2 linked regions of the Saccharomyces cerevisiae S288C genome follow. The gene in region 1 interacts genetically with each later gene. Each region holds a gene or a part of one and is shown in the gene's direction. Other genes may lie near its edges.

Region 1 (5,440 bases):
TTCTGATTCGAGGAACGTGCAAGTTAAAAAAATTAATTTCAAAACAAGTCATGGACCAGCTGGAAATTCTAATGGAAAACCAATGCTGGATGTGGATGACAATGAAATAAATACAAAGAAGTACCAAACACCTAAATATGTTGAAAGTGATGAAGACGACCAGTAAGTCTGTCAGTAATTATGTTGGGATCTCTCAACCATATCTTAAATATTCTTGGCGAATTGTAGTAATTTTTTAGACTGGTTAATGATATCATAATTAAATCTTCAAAAGCAACCAACAAAAGAGAACTAATAGCGTACGGTATGCATCAATTATATATGATTATAACGGACTTTTATTCATGGACGTTTATATCATTCTGGATTATTCGTCATTATTGTTCATTGTTGAACACAATATAAAAAAATATAAAATATGGTTGCTAAGAGATTCGAACTCTTGCATCTTACGATACCTGAGTATTCCCACAGTTAACTGCGGTCAAGATATTTCTTGAATCAGGCGCCTTAGACCGCTCGGCCAAACAACCACTTATTTGTTGAAAATTTTAGAATTCAAGTATACCCAGTCATGTATTAAGTTAATCTTTATGTCATCTTTCTAAACTTTATATGTGTTGGAATAAAAATCCACTATCGTCTATCAACTAATAGTTATATTATCAATATATTATCATATACGGTGTTAAGATGATGACATAAGTTATGAGAAGCTGTCATCGAAGTTAGAGGAAGCTGAAGTGCAAGGATTGATAATGTAATAGGATAATGAAACATATAAAACGGAATGAGGAATAATCGTAATATTAGTATGTAGAAATATAGATTCCATTTTGGGGATTCCTAGACCGGAGAGGAGAACTTCTAGTATATTCTGTATACCTAATATTATAGCCTTTATCAACAATGGAATCCCAACAATTATCTCAACATTCACCCATTTCTCAATATGACAACATAGATATTAGTTGATTTTTATTGCAACATTTATATGTATGAAGAGATGACTCTAAACACTAAAGCTATAGTCATATCTGATACAATCGATCAGTGCGTGCCTTTAATACTTCTCTCATTATAGAACGATACCTTTGATTCCTAGTTTACAATACAACAATATCGAAAATTCTTTCACGAATGCACCATTCAGAAGGGGAAAGAGTGACTTTACACAAAATTTGTATTGGAATAATAATCAACGATCATGTGACTACTATTCAAATTACTAGTAAGAAATCCCAACAATCATCATAAATTCACCTATTTCTGAATTTAAAGTCCCTTTCATTTCCTATTGAATTATTAATCGCTACATTTCTGCTATTGTAAAATTGATGACAATTTATTTAGCTGATTTTTCAATTTACGCTATCAATTAAACTACTGTACGTGATACTATTCTAGCAGCACAGTAGATTTCACTAACCCGTTATGTTGAGTAGTTATGGTGCATTAAAAATTGAGTACGTAGCGATAAAAAACAAGAATATTCAGGAACTTGAGCTAAGGCAAGGCTGGAAGAGAATCAATAGTTTCTAAAGTTTTTATCGTTTTGTTTATGCTTCGATATTTTTACTTCGTTCATTTTGATATCTAGAGGCAGCTTCCCTTCTGATTCTCCCGAGTCTGTTACGGTAATTGTTTACATAAACAAAAAGAGTATCCTAATATTCGATCACTTCTCTCAAGTCTTGTTGTAAGCCTTAATTTCTTAATCTTGTGTGGTTCCGGAAGCCTAGTTTTAAGTCCGAAAGTGATCGACGGGGAAATTTGTTAACGCCGTATCCGTACTAGAACTCTCGGCGGTTATTTGCCAATTTTTACTCCAACGGGGATCAACATCAGCAAGAAAGCAAAGGAGGATGGGGTAAAAAAACAAGGAAGACAAGTAAAGAAATTATATAAGAAGTCGTTTCTGGCTGCTTTACTCCCAGTGTTGAAAGGTAGAAGGACTTATCAGCTAATTTATTAAGCAAGGTACACATATACGAAGCTAAACAAACATTCGATTTATTTCTTATTTGAGTAAGCCATGCCTGGAAATTTATCCTTCAAAGATAGAGTTGTTGTAATCACGGGCGCTGGAGGGGGCTTAGGTAAGGTGTATGCACTAGCTTACGCAAGCAGAGGTGCAAAAGTGGTCGTCAATGATCTAGGTGGCACTTTGGGTGGTTCAGGACATAACTCCAAAGCTGCAGACTTAGTGGTGGATGAGATAAAAAAAGCCGGAGGTATAGCTGTGGCAAATTACGACTCTGTTAATGAAAATGGAGAGAAAATAATTGAAACGGCTATAAAAGAATTCGGCAGGGTTGATGTACTAATTAACAACGCTGGAATATTAAGGGATGTTTCATTTGCAAAGATGACAGAACGTGAGTTTGCATCTGTGGTAGATGTTCATTTGACAGGTGGCTATAAGCTATCGCGTGCTGCTTGGCCTTATATGCGCTCTCAGAAATTTGGTAGAATCATTAACACCGCTTCCCCTGCCGGTCTATTTGGAAATTTTGGTCAAGCTAATTATTCAGCAGCTAAAATGGGCTTAGTTGGTTTGGCGGAAACCCTCGCGAAGGAGGGTGCCAAATACAACATTAATGTTAATTCAATTGCGCCATTGGCTAGATCACGTATGACAGAAAACGTGTTACCACCACATATCTTGAAACAGTTAGGACCGGAAAAAATTGTTCCCTTAGTACTCTATTTGACACACGAAAGTACGAAAGTGTCAAACTCCATTTTTGAACTCGCTGCTGGATTCTTTGGACAGCTCAGATGGGAGAGGTCTTCTGGACAAATTTTCAATCCAGACCCCAAGACATATACTCCTGAAGCAATTTTAAATAAGTGGAAGGAAATCACAGACTATAGGGACAAGCCATTTAACAAAACTCAGCATCCATATCAACTCTCGGATTATAATGATTTAATCACCAAAGCAAAAAAATTACCTCCCAATGAACAAGGCTCAGTGAAAATCAAGTCGCTTTGCAACAAAGTCGTAGTAGTTACGGGTGCAGGAGGTGGTCTTGGGAAGTCTCATGCAATCTGGTTTGCACGGTACGGTGCGAAGGTAGTTGTAAATGACATCAAGGATCCTTTTTCAGTTGTTGAAGAAATAAATAAACTATATGGTGAAGGCACAGCCATTCCAGATTCCCATGATGTGGTCACCGAAGCTCCTCTCATTATCCAAACTGCAATAAGTAAGTTTCAGAGAGTAGACATCTTGGTCAATAACGCTGGTATTTTGCGTGACAAATCTTTTTTAAAAATGAAAGATGAGGAATGGTTTGCTGTCCTGAAAGTCCACCTTTTTTCCACATTTTCATTGTCAAAAGCAGTATGGCCAATATTTACCAAACAAAAGTCTGGATTTATTATCAATACTACTTCTACCTCAGGAATTTATGGTAATTTTGGACAGGCCAATTATGCCGCTGCAAAAGCCGCCATTTTAGGATTCAGTAAAACTATTGCACTGGAAGGTGCCAAGAGAGGAATTATTGTTAATGTTATCGCTCCTCATGCAGAAACGGCTATGACAAAGACTATATTCTCGGAGAAGGAATTATCAAACCACTTTGATGCATCTCAAGTCTCCCCACTTGTTGTTTTGTTGGCATCTGAAGAACTACAAAAGTATTCTGGAAGAAGGGTTATTGGCCAATTATTCGAAGTTGGCGGTGGTTGGTGTGGGCAAACCAGATGGCAAAGAAGTTCCGGTTATGTTTCTATTAAAGAGACTATTGAACCGGAAGAAATTAAAGAAAATTGGAACCACATCACTGATTTCAGTCGCAACACTATCAACCCGAGCTCCACAGAGGAGTCTTCTATGGCAACCTTGCAAGCCGTGCAAAAAGCGCACTCTTCAAAGGAGTTGGATGATGGATTATTCAAGTACACTACCAAGGATTGTATCTTGTACAATTTAGGACTTGGATGCACAAGCAAAGAGCTTAAGTACACCTACGAGAATGATCCAGACTTCCAAGTTTTGCCCACGTTCGCCGTCATTCCATTTATGCAAGCTACTGCCACACTAGCTATGGACAATTTAGTCGATAACTTCAATTATGCAATGTTACTGCATGGAGAACAATATTTTAAGCTCTGCACGCCGACAATGCCAAGTAATGGAACTCTAAAGACACTTGCTAAACCTTTACAAGTACTTGACAAGAATGGTAAAGCCGCTTTAGTTGTTGGTGGCTTCGAAACTTATGACATTAAAACTAAGAAACTCATAGCTTATAACGAAGGATCGTTCTTCATCAGGGGCGCACATGTACCTCCAGAAAAGGAAGTGAGGGATGGGAAAAGAGCCAAGTTTGCTGTCCAAAATTTTGAAGTGCCACATGGAAAGGTACCAGATTTTGAGGCGGAGATTTCTACGAATAAAGATCAAGCCGCATTGTACAGGTTATCTGGCGATTTCAATCCTTTACATATCGATCCCACGCTAGCCAAAGCAGTTAAATTTCCTACGCCAATTCTGCATGGGCTTTGTACATTAGGTATTAGTGCGAAAGCATTGTTTGAACATTATGGTCCATATGAGGAGTTGAAAGTGAGATTTACCAATGTTGTTTTCCCAGGTGATACTCTAAAGGTTAAAGCTTGGAAGCAAGGCTCGGTTGTCGTTTTTCAAACAATTGATACGACCAGAAACGTCATTGTATTGGATAACGCCGCTGTAAAACTATCGCAGGCAAAATCTAAACTATAATACAAAAAAAGATTTGAATAATATAAAAAATAGCGATTATATTCTTTTCATTTAACAGCTTTGTTAAGCCATATCCTTACATACATCTTTCCCTACATAACTAACCTACCCATTTTAAGTACTTTTTCTTTACGGACGCAACTTTTTTGTCATGTGTAATATTAACAGTTTTAATCTATATAGAGGAAGAGGATGGATAATATTACAAAGTGTATATAGGTTGTATATAGATACATGCATATGATGGGAAGACTATGAAGAGAGAGATAGTCATCATGGTAAGACATTTATCCAGAAATTCATGAATTCCGTTTCATGAGATATTTTGTCCTCACACCTAAACATCAAATGATTTAAACCTTCTGATAAGCGAATATCAAAGATTTCGGTTATATTATTACGTTTATCATTATCGTTACCAACAATATCGTTATTGTTGCCGCCGCCGATTGTCAAATTTTCTATATCTTGCTTCGTATCGTTTCCAATAACATCATTTTCTTGTTGCTGAGGTTGGGAAAGGTTACTGTTTACATTTGAAGTTCTAGACTTCACTGGCTCTTTATTAATGGTTAATAAAGTCTCTGTATCCTTTAATGATGAGGTCAAATGAGACTGTAATGTTAAAAAAGTTTGCATGGGTTGTAACATGAAGGAGAAAGCGTTTTCATTTTGACTCAATTCATTACCATTGAAAATATA
Region 2 (5,221 bases), 370 kb from region 1:
CGGAGGTTCCCTAAATAACACGTTTAGTACTTTGCAACCACTAGTGCCGCAGGCAAGCGCCCCCGCATTTGATGCAGTGGAATTGCTGCTAAACCAGACCACCTCTACAAATCAGACATTGAGCACTCTATCTGATTTGCTGGAACAAAACCTCACTCAGTCATCATCTGCAAAAAAGGCGTTTGCTGCCTTAACCCAATTGATGGAAAATTCGGACAACTCGACAATGGTTGTCACTTCGGTCCAATCTCTAGCTGCGGTGACAAATACAACTCAATCTACTCAACAGCTAATTGGATTAGATGATGTGATAAGCTCCTCGAGTAACACCAACGAAACTTTGTCCATCTTGTCCGAATTACAATCGGGCCTATCCGGTAATTCAAGCTCCGTACAGTACATTCCATATCTCTTCAGTCTTTTAGGGGCATCCACTGATCCTAAAACAACATTTTCATCTTTAGTGACGCTGACTTCCTGGGCTCAAGAAAACCCTCAGACCTTCTTGCCCATTTTAGATATATTAGCGGATGCCAAATCCGTCCAACCGATTTCCGCAGAAGAATTGAACGCCATGACGCCGAATATACTAGAGTATCTGAAAATTCCGATTTACTATCGCTTATCCATTTTCACGCTATGCCATGCTAACCTGGAAAACAAGATCCTAGATTGTAACTCCCCACATGCTGTACAAAACTTGGATTTTAGATCGATTATTTATGACGCATTAGTCACATCAGACTTCCAACCATATCTGAACGCCCTGAATATTAGCGCCAACGATCTTTACCTAGAAGGGAAACTTTTACACAGAGAGCACCAATATGTGCCAGCAGTGAGGTCTGTTTTGGCTTTGAACCTCTTAGCGATCATCTTTTCCTTCTTTACCATGATTTTTATTATATTACTGTACTTTAACAGATATATGTTCAAACAACCATTATGGCTCATTGCCCTAGCTCTACACGTTTGCGTTGGTGTAGCCACTGTATTGGCAGCCATTATCATATCCGTTATGATTGCCATTATAAAGAGCGGTACGGCAGATGATAAATATGGTGTTGTGTTTAAAGCCGGTCCCGCCTATACAGGGCTGATATGGACAGCATTTGCGTTGTCTTTTATCGCCACAGGATTGATAATTTATACGTGGTGGAGGAACAGACGGAGTGGTCGTTACATGTCCGGATCTGTGACGAATAGGAAAGGCGAAATTTACACGTATGGGGATGGTTCTGCCATTTCTGCAGACCGTTTCGGCGACCATAACTTGGGTGATGATGATGATGCTGATTTCGAAAAACAGGTGAATCGTAATGAAATAACCGCTATCGACAACAGTAGTTCTGCCAATAATACAGATGTCACAGGTAGTACGAGTAATAGAACAGAGCTAAGTCACCCCGACGTGACACCAAAAGATTCAAATGGACCTGTTAACAATAATGCACATTTGGTAGCATAATTTTTTTCTTTTTCGTAAATGCTCTATCACTTTTTTTCAATTGTACCAAACCATTTACAGCGTTATCTTAATCTCTTATATTGAATTATAGTACATACCACACCATCATCCTTATTTAATAGCTTTATTTAAATTTCAAAACAAAAATTAATAATAATTTGGTAATTATTCATATTTTTGGAATATATGCAATTAATGTTCTTTCGTCTTTGATGTATATTCCTTCGGCGTTAATTACAACTATCACCGTAAAGTTTTTACCACCCTCCGAAAGATTAAGGGCGGCAATGAAATGTGGAGTAAAGTGAATGTTAGATGATGATATTGATGGCTTTGCTCGATCAAAGATAATATTATATTTAAGTATCATCTTGTCCTCAATCCGGTACAAAACAAACGTCTTCAACATTGTTATCTGTATTTTGTTCGTCTTGAATATGGAAAAGACTCAAAAGGGATAATAATACAATTAAAAGTTACCGAAGAAAGATTTTATAATGATCTCAACAGCTTCTGCATTTTATCAGAAGCATAGAGTAAATTTACTGCGTTCTTCATACATAATATTGTTGCTAGCCACGCTTTACAATTCAAATTCCAGTTCTAGTAACAACAAAACTGATAAGAAGGATTCTGAGTCAACGGTTTTAGAAAATAAGAAAATTGAAGAGGGAAAAGAAACCGCAGTAGATAGAGAGGAAGATGAAAGTAGCAAAGAAGAGTTAACGATAGTCTCCAAACATAGCACAGATTCAGAAGATGGTGCAATAATAATTGATAAAGAAAGCAAGACTAATCATAAGGGGGGAGAGCGAAAAGGAAAGGTAGATTTTTTGTTCAAACTTTTGCTTCATGATAAGAAGTGCCTCATTTTATTTATTACACAGGCTATTCTTCTGAACATCAGAACATTGCTGTCTCTTCGTGTGGCTACTTTAGATGGTCAATTAGTGTCCACACTAGTAAGAGCTCAATACGCAAACTTCACAAAGATATTGTTGGGGAAATGGATGATCCTTGGAATTCCCGCCAGTTTTATTAATTCACTGATCAGTTACACGACAAAACTTTGTGCTGTCACTATTAATAGGAAAGTTTCAGACTTTCTACTCTCAAAGTATCTATCTAATCACCATACTTTCTATTCCGTAGCTTCTGCTGAATCTGTTTCAGAAATTCAGGATAATTTGACAAAAGATATTTACACATTTTCAATGAACTCGTCATTATTACTGAATCAGCTATTAAAGCCAATGCTGGATTTGATCCTCTGTTCATTCAAATTATTAACCTCAAACACTAGTGTTATGGGTGAAGGAACTTTGGCACTGGGCTTAATTGTCTACGCCTCCAATTCATTACTAAAATTGATTCAACCGAATTTCACTAGGTTAACTATGGCAAGCGCATCTTTGGAAAGTTGGTTCAGATCTTTACACTCGAATCTACATTCAAGCAATGAAGAAATTGCACTGCTAAGAGGGCAAAAGAGGGAACTAGAAAACGTTGATTATTCATTTTACCGTTTGGTGCTATTTTTAAACAGAGAAATAAAGGCAAGAGCTATTTATGATGTTGCTACTGCATTTGTCATTAAATATACTTGGGGCGCAGCTGGCTTGGTACTATGCTCGATTCCAATATTTTTCAAAAACAAACCTAGTGAAGACACCTTACAGCTTAAGGAACCCGGGAATGATATGACGGCTGATTTCATCACAAATAGAAGATTATTAGTCACTGCATCTAGCTCTATCGGAAGATTTGTGGAACTGAAGAGAAATATACAACAATTACGCGGTATCAGATTGAGATTGAACAAGTTCAATGATTTGTTGGATGCTAATAAAGGTGATGACGAAAAAGAACCAAGAGATGAAAGGTGTATAGTGGAATATGATGATTCAAGGATAAAGTTTGAAAATATTCCTTTAATAACACCTGCCAATCAAGTTCTAGTACCGGAGCTAAGTTTTGATCTGAAGCATGGAAATCATCTACTAATTATTGGGCCCAACGGTTGCGGTAAATCTTCATTATTTCGTATTCTAGGCGGGCTTTGGCCGATAAGGGCGACTCCCAATAAAAATCATCAATCCAAGTTAATAATGCCGCGTAGAACTGTGGATAGAGATTGCGCAATATTTTATTTACCCCAAAGGCCGTATATGGGCAATAGGTCGACATTCAGGGAACAGATTATTTATCCAGACAGTATTGAACAATTCAAAGAAAGATATCACAATGATTATGATCTAGGCGATGCAGATTTAATAAAAATTCTGCAATTATTAGATTTGGAGGATTTAGTCACTGAAAATATGTCACTTCTGCTGGCGCAAAGGACTTCCAAAAATGATTCACAGCAGTTGTCGACGGAAGACAATCAGTCACCATGCGCCATTAAAGTTCGTGATGCATTCAGTATAGTAAGAAATTGGTCCGAAGAATTAACAATTGGTGTCCAACAAAGGTTAGCTATGGCAAGGATGTACTATCATAAACCCAAGTTTGCTGTGCTCGACGAATGTACATCTGCAGTAGCCCCAGAAATGGAACAAAGGATGTACGAAAATGCGCAAAATTTTGGTATCTCGTTAATATCAGTTTGCCACAGGACAAGTTTATGGCATTTTCATAACTATCTGTTAAAATTTGATGGTAAAGGCGGATACCAATTTGGACCGTTTAACCCGAAGGAAAGGTTATGTAATGAAGAAAAACTTCTTGAACTAAATGCCATCTTGGATCAACAGGTGCCACTTTGGGAGCGGAAGTTGAAAGATCTGACAATTGCTAAAGAATCCAACATCATTCGTAAATCAGAAACTAACCTGAATCTTTTTGAAAAGATCGAAGATCCAAAAACGTCCAAATCTAATGCATTGTTTAATGCAAATAAAGGGCAGCGAATCACATCACCTACAGGGCAGGAGACTAGTAAGAGATTACCACTATTTTCCCAACCATCTAGTTCAGCATCATCAAATTTACTAAGAAACAATAAAAGCTTGAACAAAAAAGTTAAAACAAAAAAGGAAGAAGGAAAGGAGAGGTAACATACATAGCCAAAGGAGGATCCAAATCATGTATAAATTGGATAAATAAATTGTTTTATAATAATTTAATATCTTGAGAAAGCGCTCATATTTACGGTTGATTGCTCAATTCCATGTACCGGATCCAACTGTACTGGCTTCCTCAGCCTCCGGTACCAACCTTTTTTTGTATAAATACGTAAAAATACAAAAGTCTGAACTATTTTTCCCTTTTTATGCAAATAAACACTTTCCTATATATAATTTTACTTTTGAATATTCATGTCACGACCCACTGCCTGAGAACTTTCCATTTTTTATAAAGTGAACCAAGTTTTATAGTTATCTTGAATCAGGTGAAGTTGAATGTGTTAAGATGGATGATTGATTGTTCATTACTGATGATGGAGAAGTTATACTGGCGACGTTACTTGAGGATGCATTATTATTAGAAACTTCTGTTGTGGACGAAATTATACGCGGCAAGGAATCAATTTCTTGAACGATGAATTCTCTTTCATCAAGAAAAGTAGAATCCTGAGAATCTAAACCGAAAGTTTTAAAATACGTCAATAGTTTATCTCTGTTTTTAACAAGAATGTCAAAAACAGGTTTTGACTTCCTTGGGTTTGCTACCATCACCTTGAATACGTTGAAAGCTTCAAGTTGTAAGTTTTTAGATTTGTCAGTCATTAAAGTCATTATGAGCTTTAAG

Evidence for each region.
Region 2: of FOX2 (region 1) and PXA2, changing one enhances a phenotype caused by changing the other (phenotypic enhancement), as found in Saccharomyces cerevisiae (one study listed by BioGRID).

Annotation. Positions count from the first base shown.
Region 1 is NC_001143.9:453,650-459,089, reverse strand, and holds FOX2 (bifunctional hydroxyacyl-CoA dehydrogenase/enoyl-CoA hydratase FOX2), read left to right. Parts: upstream 1-2,035; coding exon 2,036-4,738; downstream 4,739-5,440. Other genes in the region: TOF2 (Tof2p), read left to right, coding at 1-166; RSC4 (Rsc4p), read right to left, coding at 5,012-5,440. UniProt on the Saccharomyces cerevisiae protein: Second trifunctional enzyme acting on the beta-oxidation pathway for fatty acids, possessing hydratase-dehydrogenase-epimerase activities. Converts trans-2-enoyl-CoA via D-3-hydroxyacyl-CoA to 3-ketoacyl-CoA.
Region 2 is NC_001143.9:85,531-90,751, reverse strand, and holds PXA2 (ATP-binding cassette long-chain fatty acid transporter PXA2), read left to right. Parts: upstream 1-1,965; coding exon 1,966-4,527; downstream 4,528-5,221. Other genes in the region: FAT3 (Fat3p), read left to right, coding at 1-1,468; HYM1 (Hym1p), read right to left, coding at 4,849-5,221.